Arabidopsis thaliana: one gene and its partner. The protein of the gene in region 2 interacts with the protein of the main gene of each other region in a pairwise test. Each region holds a gene or a part of one and is shown on either strand. Other genes may lie near its edges.

Region 1 (7,903 bases), on a different chromosome or scaffold from region 2:
TTGAGTTTATCCTTGACCATCTCTTTCAACTTAGCAACTCCTTCCACACTGAAATCACCGTTAAAGGTCCGATCATCGACTAGATCGGCGCTTCCCATCTTCACTGAAAATTCCTTTACGAGATTATTATCAAAGACCTTAACTTGTTGCCACCGCAATGAGAGAGCCCAAGGAATCAACAAATTGGAATATATATATACACGCCACTAAAACCCTAACCTATGCACGATTCAATTCGAGAACGGATAGAATTAAGGAGCTTCAAGGTGGTGGTACTAGGGTTTGGGTTTCTGTCGGAGAAATCCAGAAAGCAGCAACCCAGACGATTGAAATCCTGATTAATGTCTAAGGGACGGAACAAATTAGATATGAAAAGCCTCTCTGAATTTCTTTTAATTATAAACGGTGCGTTTTGTGTTTCAATTTAAAACAACACATTTATATTTTCACTATTGGGTTGGGCCTAATTAGGTGCTCCAACTTTTAGTTTTTTTTTCTGACTTTTTTTTTTTCCGTCAGTTTTTTTTTTCTGACTAGAGTTATAAATAATCATAGTTGCATGAAAGTACAGTATTTTGTTGCAATTTTTAGATGACAATTGAAAATTGTCCCAATGAACTTACTTTTTTACACATTTTATTAAGTAGATATAACTATAGTCTGGCTACAATGATAGTTGCATGAAAGAACAGTATTTTGTTGGACTTTTAAGATATATGCAAGATATTTTTGTATGCGTTGAAAATAATTCACATAAAAAACTCGTAGAATGAGTAAGCTCATGTTAATATTATTAAAAGAAAACAAAAGTCTAATGTATAGTTTAATATGTTATGCTTTAAAATATACAAATCTATAAAAATAATGGAACACAAGAAGATGATAACCCATACAAACTCAAACACGTTATTGGCTTTGCTATTTTATACGCCAAGCAAACTTGTCTGATAGAAATTGGCTTTGTGAGTTGTGACGCACAATGGACTAGTAGTATCGTGATAAGTACATCTACCACACGAAACGAAACGAAACCAGAAAGACATGTTCCTAAATTACCAAACAACCCCTTCGTCTCTTACATACACCATTTCTCGATGATCAAGAAGCAAATTCATGAATCCGTAAGCCACACAATAATAATATTAATAATCATTCACTAATATATAAATTAAAAGATGAAAAAAAAACGTAAAAAAAAAAATTGAGGTTCAGATTTTGATTTGAGGAGAGGAATAATCTCTCTGATCTTCTTTTACAACACATCACCAAATCAAATCCATGTCTCTCCGACCAATCTCTCTTCCGATCGGAGCTTTTGAACCACCACAAGTTTTTCAACGGTTGAGATCGAATTTTTAATTTTTTAAACTTTGACCATTTTCGCAGCCTTGACCACCGGATTTTCTCTAGCGATCGCCTCACGACCAGCGGTTTTGTAGTCGTAGCTACAATCATGACGATCGGAGTAACGGTGCTCTGAGCAGAAAAGCTCACCGCATCGGCACCTGAATCCGGTCAACCCAACTTTCTTCCGACAACCAGAACATCGGTTTACGATCTGTTGATCTCTCTTCTTCACCGCATCGATCTCTCTTGGACGAATCACGACTTTAGCTGGTGACGAACGAAGATTGACAGATCTAGCCGATCTCTTCAAGATCGAACCTGATTCAACAACACCTGCGGCCGCCGAGACGAGAGATGCGTTGAAACATTTCTGACACATGTTGTTCGTCGCAGGATTCGCTGTAACGCCGCAGTTATTGGTACATAACGTCGTTGTTGTTGTCGTCAAGGTTTCGAGAACTTTGAACTCGGTCTCTTCCTTCTCCGTTCTCTGAGCCATCGTCTTATTGAATCTCCCTGCTCCTCCGGCGAGTTTACGGATCGATTATGAGGAGAGAGAGATAGAGAGGTAGAGAGAGGTAAGAATGGAATATGGGCCTCATAGAGAGACGCGTTTCCATCTCTCTTATCATCTCTCCTTCCACCATCCCCACTTTCTCGTCTTCTGGTGGATTTACGTTAATACCCTCATCGCTTTTTTGGAATTACCAGAGAGGATTAAATATGCATTTCAATGATTCTAGAATGGCTTATGACGCCATACAGCGGACAACAACATGTTTCTCTTTCTCACATTTTTGCTTTTTTGGGTGTATTTTCTGATTTTTCTTTGAGTATACTCTAATTTATTAGTATCATGACTTTTATAAACTGAGATATCAAAGAAGGGTGAGGAAAATCGCTGGAATATGGGCCAACTTGTTTATTTATGTTTCTCTCCCAACAAAAAAATCACCAAAGAAAAGTAATACCATAATCATATATATATCTAGAGGTGTTATTGTGTTAACTAGTTTCGAACACCTGTATGTTTATGTTTGGTTCGACTTCGGACATGTTAGATTTTTATTTTTTACTTTAGGGAAAAACAAAAAGAAAGAGATTTTGGGGGTTAAAACTGTCACACAAAAAAAACGACCTGTGAGGTTGTAAAGCTACGCGTACAACATGTCAACATGCCAATTTGCAGACTTTATTTTTTTTCCATGTTTTTGCGTTAATCAGTAGTATTTTATTTGCTCTTTGGCTTGGAGGTTGAAGCTTTAATGGTCTTATTTTCCTGACCATATTCAACAAGACAACAACCCAGAAGGTGGATTGTATTTCGCGAAATGTTTCTACTTTTTTCTTATATAGATAATGGGATGATGAATTAAAATTGAAATTAATCTCTACAGCATGTAAGAAAATTCGAATATTTTAGTCATTTGATTTTGATAAGTCAAATGAACTAACCATAATTCAACTAGCAGTGGAAAACTTCAAATTTGTTCCTTCAATCAATCGGCTGATGAATCATCAGTATCATTGGACAAAACTAGGAATTGGTGATCAGGTGATACTTTTGATATTTGCATATATTTGATTTCATTCAGATTATGGAAAATGTAAATAAAAATCTATTTATTATAGTAATATTTTAATAAAATTAGTAATCTTGAAAAATGGAGAAACGTAGCTAACTATGGGAGAAAAAGCTGCCTAAAACGTCGGGTTGTTTCTGAGGTCAATGCCTAAACAGCTAAACTCGAAAACCAAATGACAACAAAAAAGCATCAAAAAAAAAAGAAAAAAAAAAAGAGAGAAAAATAAGAGAAATCGAACCCCCAAATAAGGAATTCTGACAGAGTCGCCTGCTAGATTTGTTTTCTTTCTCTCTCGTCATCTCTCTTCCTCTCTGTAATCCCAACCGGAGTTACGATTCCTTCTTATCGTAACTCCTGCTTCCGATCTCGATCCAATTTTCACTTTTGTTTTGTCCGAACGGTAAATCATTTCGCGGCTTTTTTTTTTTAAGGTAATTGATCTCGATCCTTGAAGAAAATTCGTAATTGTATATGCGCGACAAATGTGTATTGATGCATTCGTATTGGTGTATTGTTTAGGGAAGGAGGAATAAGCAAATTTTGATTTGATTCCGTTTTTTTGGGGGTGTTAGTGATCTTTTAGATGAAGTAAAGAAATTTTGATTATTGAGGGGATTATGTGAGTTATGGTATCATCGGCAACTATATTGCGGATGGTAGCACCATGTTGGAGGCGACCTTCTGTTAAAGGAGATCATTCTACTAGAGACGCTAATGGTCGATGTGATGGTCTTCTTTGGTATAAAGATTCTGGTAACCATGTTGCTGGAGAGTTCTCTATGTCTGTTATTCAAGCTAATAATCTTCTCGAAGATCATAGCAAGCTTGAGTCTGGACCTGTTAGTATGTTTGATTCTGGTCCTCAAGCTACTTTTGTTGGTGTTTATGATGGTCATGGTGGTCCTGAAGCTGCCCGTTTCGTTAATAAACACCTCTTCGACAACATCAGGAGTACGTTGTTTCCTTCTTTTTTGTTATATTTGATATGTGTGTGTTTGGGACTATCTATGTTCTAAGTTGGTGACATTTTCTGATTGCAGAGTTTACATCAGAGAATCATGGAATGTCTGCCAATGTTATAACTAAAGCGTTTTTAGCTACGGAAGAAGATTTTCTTTCTCTTGTCCGGCGGCAGTGGCAGATTAAACCACAGATTGCTTCTGTTGGAGCTTGTTGTCTGGTAGGGATCATATGTAGTGGATTGTTGTATATTGCAAACGCTGGAGATTCTCGGGTTGTGCTAGGAAGACTGGAAAAAGCGTTTAAAATTGTCAAGGCCGTTCAGTTATCGTCTGAGCATAATGCAAGTCTTGAATCTGTGAGAGAGGAGTTGCGCTCGTTGCATCCAAATGATCCTCAGATTGTGGTCTTGAAGCACAAAGTTTGGCGTGTCAAAGGTATTATACAGGTAAAAATACTTTCACGGTAATGCGAGTTGCTGACTTCTAGACTCTTTTCTTGCAAGTAGCTTGACTGTGAAAGATACAACTAAGTAAGCCCTATGCATGTATAAGAAGAGGATTTTTCGCTAGATATAACCCGTGGCTGGTTCTTGAAGGTTTCACGGTCGATTGGTGATGCATACTTAAAGAAAGCAGAATTCAACCGGGAACCATTGTTGGCAAAGTTCAGGGTCCCTGAGGTTTTCCATAAGCCCATCCTTAGAGCAGAGCCGGCAATTACAGTACACAAAATCCATCCAGAAGATCAGTTTCTTATATTTGCATCAGACGGCTTGTGGGAGCACTTGTCCAATCAAGAAGCTGTTGACATTGTGAACACATGCCCGCGCAATGTAAGATTGCCACTTGCTCTTTCTTACTCTCTCTCGTTTTATGTGCAAATAGATAGAAAGATTGATTGAGAACATGTGGGTATGCAGGGGATTGCAAGGAAGCTCATAAAAACAGCTCTAAGAGAGGCAGCAAAGAAGAGAGAGATGAGATATTCGGATCTAAAAAAGATCGATAGAGGAGTGCGGAGACATTTTCATGATGATATAACAGTCATAGTTGTGTTTCTTGATTCACATCTCGTCAGTCGCAGTACCTCACGCCGACCTCTCCTCTCCATCTCAGGTGGTGGTGATTTAGCTGGACCTTCTACTTGACTCTACTCTCACCACATCTATATATATCTTATATATACATTATCCACTATATATAAAAACACATTGCAAAACGCAATTCAAGTTCCTTCTTTTTTTTTTTCTCTATATATAAAAATTTCCTCTTAACTCTGTTTTTTATTCATCCCAAAAAAAAATGAAGAGTTGAAATCCAATGTATAGGTCTTTTGGCAAACTGAGTTTATTATGGATAATATAAAGAGATATCACTTGTTGGAAAGATTTCTACTACTGACTACCTCCATCTACCACTTTTTGCTTATGTTGTCATTTTTAGTGTATATACAAAAACATAAGCGAATGTGTAATTGATGCAGTAGAGACCGATACTGCTACAAGTTCGTCTTTTATGTCAAAGACAAAACAACATTGCTTTTCATGGCCTAAGAATTCAAAAGATCTTGTCAGTCACAAATTAAAGTTACCTTAAATATAATTGACTACAGTTCTCAGTAAAAAAATCATCCGACTATAGTTCCAAAATATTTAGAATAGTTATCTAAAAGACCTTGAAAGATCACGAATAATTCACGCAATAGTAAATCGAAATGAAAACAAAATAATCTAATGATCCATATGTTCGCACATGCATTTCATCGAATTTGAATTCATTTGGAGATATGGCGACAAAACTAACATTTTACAAATGGATTACTGTATATTGTTGTTATGATTGAAATTATGTTTTGGTTATGAGCAAGGACATGGAAATTTTTTACTAATACTAAAATAAATAAATAAAGACAGCTCCAGGAAATGGGATCTTGACCCCTGAGCATGTGATGGGCGTTGAATCATGTCCTAACCAAGACAACGCGACTGAAAATCATAAATGCTGGAATAAGCTCTAATGATTTTGATCATAATATTATTTCTTCAACAAGATTATATGTGAATTAGTTAGAAACAAATGTTATATGTCAAATATTATAATTAAACTAATTAAATCAAATGTAAGGATTTTTAACAACGATACGTTTGGGATAAGAAATTAGGGAAGGAAAACAAAAAAATCAAAGTTTGGACTTTGGACAGAGAGATGCTTAGTTAAATGCTTCTGTAGTTCTGTAGTAGGACCACATGAGTCACATGTAAAAGTATTTATGGAGGACCAACCATATTTGGTTTATTAAATGCTGTCTCTAATAATTGGTAAATTATCAATCATAATTAGTCATACTAAGCTTTTATTGATGTGAAGTTTTGGCGTTTCAGTAAACTTGAAATCATAATCATTGCTGTAATATGGCAAAAAAAACTTAGGAAATAGCAAGTCCATGCTCCATAATCCGTGCATTATTGATCATAGAGCTATGTATAAATACGTCTAAGAATATGCATTACTTCAATGTCCATGTAAATTATCTCTTTGCATTAGTTAAATGTCCATGAAAATCAAAACATATATCCTTACCGTTGAAACAAATCAACATGATTAACTTATATATTGCCGGATCATGGTTGGATACTCGATTAATCAAATATTTTTTTAAAAAGTAAAACTGACATACACACATGATACTCATCTTTAGTACAATAGATTAAAGGGTATAAGAATACATTCGTAAGATAATATATAGAACAATAGTAGTAACATGCACATGCCCATGATACCATGCACATGCAAATGTCTCTCTCTCCTTTTCTACGTTTCTATATAATCCAAAGACTCATTACACAACACCACTCTATATCAAACATTTCTTTTAAAAATGAGAAAGTTGTTGGCATCGCCGTTTAGTTCATTACTCGCCGTCGTTTTCATTTCCGTCATCTCCGTCGTCAGATGCTGCTCTCCTAAAGATCAGACGGCTCTCAATGCTTTCAAGTCGTCACTGAGCGAACCAAACCTCGGTATCTTCAACACTTGGTCTGAAAACACTGATTGTTGCAAGGAATGGTACGGTATCAGCTGCGATCCTGATTCGGGTCGGGTCACTGATATTTCTCTCCGGGGAGAATCTGAAGACGCCATTTTCCAAAAGGCAGGCCGGTCCGGTTATATGTCCGGTTCGATTGATCCAGCAGTTTGTGACTTAACCGCACTCACTTCCCTCGTTCTCGCCGACTGGAAAGGAATCACCGGAGAGATTCCTCCGTGCATTACTTCCCTAGCTTCGCTCCGTATCCTCGATCTCGCCGGCAACAAGATCACCGGGGAGATTCCCGCGGAAATCGGCAAACTCTCGAAACTCGCTGTTTTAAACCTCGCCGAGAATCAAATGTCCGGCGAGATTCCGGCGTCACTGACGTCACTCATCGAGTTGAAGCATCTTGAATTGACGGAAAATGGAATCACCGGCGTGATCCCGGCCGATTTCGGATCGTTGAAGATGTTGAGCAGAGTTTTACTGGGCCGTAACGAACTAACCGGGTCAATTCCAGAGTCGATCTCGGGTATGGAACGGTTAGCGGATCTGGATCTATCCAAAAACCATATCGAAGGTCCGATACCCGAATGGATGGGTAACATGAAGGTACTCTCACTTTTGAATCTCGATTGCAATTCGTTAACCGGTCCAATCCCCGGTTCGCTTCTTAGCAATTCCGGTTTAGATGTTGCCAATTTGAGCCGAAATGCGTTGGAAGGAACTATACCCGACGTTTTCGGGTCAAAAACGTATTTAGTTTCGCTTGATCTGTCACACAATAGTCTATCGGGTCGGATCCCGGATTCGTTGTCGTCAGCTAAGTTTGTGGGACATTTGGATATTAGCCATAACAAGCTTTGTGGGCGTATTCCAACGGGTTTTCCTTTTGATCACCTTGAAGCTACGTCGTTTAGTGACAACCAATGTCTCTGCGGTGGCCCTTTGACGACGTCATGTTAATAACAAGGATA
Region 2 (7,715 bases):
TATAGATTTCTTCTTGTAAAAAGATTTATTGAGAGTTCCAAACACGGGTATACATGTGCAAGTGAAAAACAAAAACTTGCACATGCATGTAGATTGTATTAGAGATGAATTGAGAAATTTAAGTAGGACTAGATTTTATTATTTTATTTTATGTAAAACAGGTTGAATTTACTAACCATTTTAATTATGTTGAAGATAATTAAGTGTATCCAAAGAGGGACCCCACCTTCCCTATTAATAAAACCTTTGCTTCTCTTCTAGACGACTCCAAGAGCACTCTGATAGTTTATATGTAAAAAGAAAAGAAGCCCACCAAGAATGCCAAGACCAGGGATTAAAAAAAAAGTCCACTAAACTTAAATAAATGGTTGTTACTTAAAAACTATTCCAAAGGTTGTTGTTACTTAAACTATTCCAGCGAGCATGCATAATAAGCTAACAACTATAGAGTATATATAACTTGTAATATCCATTATAAAAAAAAGACACATGTAATATCGACGAGAAAAGATCAAAAGATTACGACGCAGATAAAGTAGGATAGAATCCTAGTTTATGTACGTAAACTATTGTTCTTGAACGATGCAGATCTCCAAAGTCAGCCAAAATATCTATGACTTTGATAATTCTATATTTAGACAAATTGCAGAGATTTTTTCTATAAAAAAATAGGCTTGAATCGCAGAGAATAGTGTGGACTAAAAAGCCTGGTTTCTTTAGGTATATGAAATTACATTTCGTTTGGTTAAATTATATTCATTTTTGTTTAGTCTATATTTTCAAAAGTGACAATTACGATATCCATTTTGATTGAAAAGTGTTCAGGGCTTTGGTTGGGTTTAACTGTCCGACCCTAGTGAATATTAATATGGATCAAACACAGACACAATTGGGCCTTCACTAAAATCTTCAGTTTCGGGCATAAAATATAGAAAGCTTCACTACTCCGATTGCCAACCCCCTTTTAGAGCTAGCGCATGCATGTTCATATATTGTTGAGATATATCTGTTAGTTGATTGTTATGTCAAAAATCTTAACTTATGAAATTTTATGTGCTCCTTGTTCTTGACGTTTTTGAAACATTTCTTGCATGAGTGTGTGTGATAATAAGCATAACACATCGAAATAGAAGTATAAACTTCGCAAATAATAATTAACGACTAAGAATAAAAAAAAACTTTGCAATATGGTGTTAGAGCCCACAATTTTCTTAAATTAAGACAAACGAGTAACTTCGTTTTCATCGAGATCAACATGGCCTCATATTGATGGTGAAATTTTTGATACATAAAGCTAGAGAGCACAATTTGGAAGAGAATAATTACTAGCTCACAAAAAAGTCTAAGAATCAATAGGATAGGAGATATAACTCAGACAACATAAGAGTGATACCAAGGAAGGAGAAAGACCAATCTATGTTATCCAACAAATGCTTTGTAGATTAGATATGAGCTTATGTTGACATTAATCTGGATTTTCGGATTTGAGATTCAACTATATTTCCATGTACGTATAGACTAAAATTGAGTTTCTATATGATCCATTGATCCTGTAACAAAATCTAGACGTCAAAATGAAAATATTCAAGTGTACATGATTTTGAGTATTGTATAATTAGGTCAACTAATCAATTACTTTTATTTCTACAAATATATTATACTATGTAGAAAATATTTACAATAATGATTAGAATATAAAGATGCTCCAAACCTCAATCGAGTACCAACATAAAATTAATTAAAGGGAAAATGTCAATGTCTTTAATTTTGTAATTGATGTCCAAAGTTCCTAGAAAAAAGATAGATTACGATTTTATGTGCGACACGTTGATGACTACTTTTATGGATTTTTTTGTTCAACCCTCGATTTTGAGTTGACATCATGAAGATTTGATCCATCATTCGTTGGCCCATATCGTTTGAAAAATCAATTCTCAAATCAATCTTAAATTTCGCGTAATTATTTTATAAAAATGGGCAATATATCCATTGTAAGATTTGTCTATTTCACGCGTCATTTTTCTTTCTACTTTGTTAGATGTTTTTGGTTAATGTAGAAAAACGATTAAATTAGAGACACTATCAATTAGAAGAAACAAAAGTCTTTTGATAAAACTCTACTTTGATCATCCACGACTGTGATCGATAACTTCTAAGCAACCTTGAAACCTGATCTTTTGAGCTTTAACTTTAAGTAGGAAAATGTCATAGTATTGGATTTGGTCGTCTTTAGTTTACATTCAATCTGGAATAAATTTGTTTCTCTAGAAAAAATAAAGAGCCAAAGAATCATTATATATATTTATTGTTCTCATGTTTATATACCTATTTTTTCTTAATAGTAGCTCTTTATTATCAAGAGATTTTTAAAAACACCTATATTGTCATAACATTTTCATAAAATTTTTAAAAATAAAATAGAAAATCAAAACATTTACCCTTTCAACAAAAAGAAATAATAATGATATTTTATATAAAAAAATATAATAAATGGGTGGGAAAGAGAAAGCAAAAGCGATCTCCAAGATTTGATACGGTGTGGTGTCTAAAAGAGTGAAACAGCAAATTATGTTTGGAAGATTAAAGAAAAAAAAGAAGAAGAGAGGTAAAGTCCAATTCCCCCTTTCATTAATACAAATTGTTCCCAACAAAATATTTATGGGTCCCTCTTTTAGATTTCCCTGGGTCCCGCGGATCCAAATTTTAATGTGGACGTCAAATCCTTTTTTTTTATTATTATTTGTCCACTTTCCTCTTCTTCTTTTTTTTTTTTTTGCCATTTGAAAACGATATAAATAAAAGTGTTTGGATAACATAAAATTTCTAGAGTCATATGGATGGATATACTACTAGTTAGGCGTATACTAATTTTCTCGTCAACCCACAAAACCCGATCTTAATATTATTCTATGAATTGCATTTGAACCATAAATTTTAAATTAGAAACTGACCAATCACATGGAACAATATAAAATTGTCTTAGTGGTTAGTACTTAATACAAATAAGACCAATCCGAAGAACCGAGCCGGTTAAGTTTAAACACGCTACTATGAATTGTAATGGTGTATGACCAAAATTAGCTTCTTTAATCTTCTGGTTTATTATTCTTAACAGTGAGTGATTCCATTTTCAGTTTTTTTTTTCCAATCACACTAATGAGTAATGACGAGATTTTGACTAAGAAGTTGTATATATCTCACGATGGTATATTTTTATTTTTTGGATTCCTTTGTACGGATTTCTTCTCCTCTATTATTTATTCGATTTTAGGAATATTATTTTCTCTATGATATTCGCATAGGCCCTCCACCGGATTTTCCATAAAATCTCTATTTATTAATACTATTGTTTTCAAAGATAAAAGTTCAATTTTTTCAACCCTAAAAGCACGGCACATAAAAATATATAATTTTCACATTAATAGGAACCAAAGATTTTGTTGGATTTTCCTCGCTGGAGATTTTTCAAAATAAAAATTGAAAAAACCAAAAAGACACACTCATAAAAGATTTATTTTAGAGAACAAAAAAATCAGAAATATAAAAAACTGTCTTAAGGAAGAGAAAGGAACAAAAGAAAACAGATGTGAGCTCTTCTTCTTCGTCTTCTTCTCTCTATTTTATTCTCATCCTCTCCTCACAGTTACTATAAGCTCGTCTATGGCCAGAGACGGTGGTGTTTCTTGTTTACGAAGGTCGGAGATGATGAGCGTCGGTGGTATCGGAGGAATTGAATCTGCGCCGTTGGATTTAGATGAAGTTCATGTCTTAGCCGTTGATGACAGTCTCGTTGATCGTATTGTCATCGAGAGATTGCTTCGTATTACTTCCTGCAAAGGTTCGTATTTTTTCAAAAAAAAAAACATCTTTCACTTTTTTTTATTCCTCGCCGGAATATTTACATCTCCGGTGGTATCGTTTGTCAGTTACGGCGGTAGATAGTGGATGGCGTGCTCTGGAATTTCTAGGGTTAGATAATGAGAAAGCTTCTGCTGAATTCGATGTAAGTTATTGAAATCTGATACAGCTTTTTGTTTTTTTTGAAGATTACGATTCGTGAGTTTGATTTAGTTTAAATGGATATTTTCAGAGATTGAAAGTTGATTTGATCATCACTGATTACTGTATGCCTGGAATGACTGGTTATGAGCTTCTCAAGAAGATTAAGGTCTGCATTTTCCCGCCATTTTCCTGTTTCAGATTACGGTTGTTTTAGTAACAATGTTGAATTTTCCGGTCATCTGAAACAGGAATCGTCCAATTTCAGAGAAGTTCCGGTTGTAATCATGTCGTCGGAGAATGTATTGACCAGAATCGACAGGTGTGATTCTTGTTGATTTCTTCACAGATTTTGGAGTTTTTAGAAACTGTTGATTGATTTGATAAAATTTTGTAAAAAAAAAAAATGATTTTTGAACAGATGCCTTGAGGAAGGTGCTCAAGATTTCTTATTGAAACCGGTGAAACTCGCCGACGTGAAACGTCTGAGAAGTCATTTAACTAAAGACGTTAAACTTTCCAACGGAAACAAACGGAAGCTTCCGGAAGATTCTAGTTCCGTTAACTCTTCGCTTCCTCCACCGTCACCTCCGTTGACTATCTCGCCTGAATCGTCGCCGCCGTTGACTGTTTCGACTGAATCGTCGGATTCGTCTCCGCCGTTATCTCCGGTGGAGATCTTTTCCACCTCGCCACTTTCATCTCCGATAGACGATGAAGATGATGACGTGTTGACGTCGTCGTCGGAGGAATCGCCGATTCGACGGCAGAAGATGAGGAGTCCCGGATTAGATTAGTGGAACTATTCTGGGATGCCGTGTAATATTATCTATCTCCGTTAACTTCGTTTTTACCTCTGACGGTGTTTTTAATTGCACGTTGACTTGACGCCGTCAAATTTTATAGATGTCCCTTTAATCTCTCGCGCCTCCACGTGGGCCTTTTTTCCTTTTCCTTAAAGCTTTTCGAATATCTTTTAATTATTTTAATTTCTGCACAAAGTTACGTTTTTAACTTTTTTAGTCTTTAAACAAAGGGAAAATTGCAATCGAACCTTCGACATTCACCATTTATTATGATAACGAGACTTGAATATGCGTTTTTTTCTTATGTATTGGGTCCTAAATAAGTCAATATCATAGACATATGGGGTTTTATAATCAGAAAGTTAGCTAGATCTGACAATTCAAGAATCAGAGAGCTAAGGTTTTTTTTTCCAGATACAAATCAACTAGTAACATTTGAATCCACTATAGTCATTAAACAGTTCCATAAATATATATCAGTTTTATGACCCAAAATACTCCTATTAATGACTATAAGCCGATGCTCTAATTTTTTTGGCTAAATTATAAATATTTCATAGATAATGAAAACAATTTAGGTTACAAACATAAAATTTGAAACTTATACATATGAATTTATAGTAAAAAAGAATAAAAATATAAATGCATAAAAGGCGGTTAATTAAAACCAAATTTTGGGTCCATTTTTCAACCTTGCAATGAAGCTAAGGGAATAGATGAAACGATGACGTTCAATTCTATCCTTCCCAAAAGAGATGCACAAGCCGATGCTCTAATGCAACTTTGAATATACATATTTAACCCAAGAAAAAAATGCTTATAATATACGACGAAGTAGTGGATGCATCATTATGCATGTGTAGATGTGTAGAGAGTAAGCAAGAAAATAAAAAGAAGAAAGAAGGAAGAGGAAGAAAGAATAAATGCAAAGCTGGAAATGGGCAACTCTTGTTCCCTTCCTTTGGGGCATATTTCTCCATAAATAGTCTCTATAGATCCCTTGTCTCTGGCACCCATTTTGGTGTTTCTTTTTTTATGGTCATGTGTTTTTACCATTTGGATCCAAGTAAGATCTTCACATTAGAAACCACGACCAATATAATTAAGCTTGGGATAGCTTTAACTTTTGTATATATGTTGCTTAACGTGTGTGTTTCGGATCTATGTTTGATTGGTACTAGAGGTTGTTATAGGCGGTTGGTCGTAAACTTATTTATCATCGAGAAGACCGCTGCAACAATCTAAGGACATGACCCAATTGCTATTCGCATTCATTTTCTGATGAACAAATCAGATGTTCTTTCGATTATCTAATAAAACATATTATATCTCACTTTATTTTAGCTTGTAATCCAAATTTAGACGTCAGGTGTTCTTTTTCTCTAAATCAACCTAATTCAACCTAAATCAACCATTGAACGAAATTCTATATTCACACACGAATTTTACTCGTATTATTTATAAAAAAAATAATAAAAGATACAATATAAAGAGTTGGATTAGTATAATAATCTAATGACAGAGCCAACCACATTGGAAAGACGAAATCAATTTTAAAATTTGTAGATGCAATGTATATAACCAACAAAATCATTAATTATTGTCGACAACAAAATCATCCCCAAACGATACTCCTCACGTTTGGCGTATTTAAAATTTTGCAATAAATTAACAAAAATTGTCCTTGGTTTGCGTTTTGTCCCTTCATGTGGGGGAATAAATCTCTCTACCACATCTTTTTCTTTTGTCATCTTTGGGGTACTGTAGTGTCCGATCGCTGTTGCATGTGTGTTTCCACGTTTTTTGCTTTACTCTTAACATGTAGATTACTTTTGTCTACGGCTAGTTTGCTGTTTAATTTATTCTTCTTTCTTTTTAGATAGTAATTTGAAAAATTTGAATCTTATGTCCATTATCTTCTTCGTATTTAGAGGAAACATCAAGTAAAATTAGTTTTTCTTTTTTCTTTTTCTTGTTGTCGATATGATAACTCATGGTTTTGAATATATAGTAGAGATAAGCATAGCACAATAAAAGTCATTGCATGAAGGATAGTTTTGTTTTGCTTTGCTTAACGGCTAACAAAATATATCTTACTATATATAATGACTTTTGCTTAAACTAAAATTCTGGCACCACCACAATGAAAACTTGTTTTTTTGGTTTACATGATTAAAATTAAACATTGTGTTGCTTCTTCTGTAACACAAACAAAAAAGTATCCCAAATTTTGAATTTAAACAATAAACCAATATCAAATATATATATAGAAAGTTGAAAACAAACATAAGGTCCAATAAATTAAGTGCATCTTACTAAGACATCTTTTACTCTAAAATTTCATTATTTACAAGCTCTAACTCAGCTTTGCTTCTCGCTCTCTATGATTCTAAACATACTACTAACGCTCACACTTCTTATGGGTCGGGTTAAATCCGACCCGGACCCGCTCCAAGACTACTGCGTTTCTCCTCCTCCTTCATCTCACCAACAAATCTTCCTCAACGGCAAACTTTGCAAAGATCCGACACAAGCCAGCGTCTCTGACTTTTCAACATCCGCATTATCCAGACCCGGAAACACTAAGACCAAACCGTTTATGATCAACGTCACTGTGACCACAACCGCCAACCTCCCAGGTCTAAACACAGTGGGCCTTACAATGGCCAGGCTAGACTTCGGAGGCTCTGGTGTTGTCCCACCGCACGTGCACCCACGCGCCTCCGAAGTGACAGTCTGCCTCGACGGTGTCCTTCTCGTCGGGTTCGTGGATACGTCGGGTCGGGTCTTTACGCAGGAGCTTCATCCGGGTGAGACATTCGTGTTTCCCAAAGGTTTGATCCATTTTCTATATAACATTGATACGGTGAGCTCAGCTTTGGCAGTCTCTGGGCTGAGTAGTCAGAATCC

Evidence for each region. Proteins that work in one complex are often made in the same cells at the same time.
Region 1: the proteins of ARR4 (region 2) and AT3G12620 interact in a two-hybrid assay, tested with the Arabidopsis thaliana proteins (one large-scale study listed by BioGRID).

What each region holds. Positions count from the first base shown.
Region 1 is NC_003074.8:4,006,650-4,014,552, reverse strand, and holds AT3G12620 (Protein phosphatase 2C family protein), read left to right. Parts: upstream 1-2,877; 5' UTR 2,878-3,364; exon of another isoform or gene 3,365-3,452; 5' UTR 3,453-3,559; coding exon 3,560-3,884; intron 3,885-3,973; coding exon 3,974-4,341; intron 4,342-4,491; coding exon 4,492-4,728; intron 4,729-4,815; coding exon 4,816-5,043; 3' UTR 5,044-5,283; downstream 5,284-7,903. Other genes in the region: AT3G12640 (RNA binding (RRM/RBD/RNP motifs) family protein), read right to left, coding at 1-98; SAP5 (A20/AN1-like zinc finger family protein), read right to left, coding at 1,364-1,846; DRT100 (Leucine-rich repeat (LRR) family protein), read left to right, coding at 6,774-7,892.
Region 2 is NC_003070.9:3,439,705-3,447,419, reverse strand, and holds ARR4 (response regulator 4), read left to right. Parts: upstream 1-3,059; 5' UTR 3,060-3,660; coding exon 3,661-3,838; intron 3,839-3,926; coding exon 3,927-4,003; intron 4,004-4,090; coding exon 4,091-4,168; coding exon of another isoform or gene 4,169-4,250; coding exon 4,251-4,321; intron 4,322-4,420; coding exon 4,421-4,796; 3' UTR 4,797-5,432; downstream 5,433-7,715. Other genes in the region: GLP7 (germin-like protein 7), read left to right, coding at 7,189-7,715.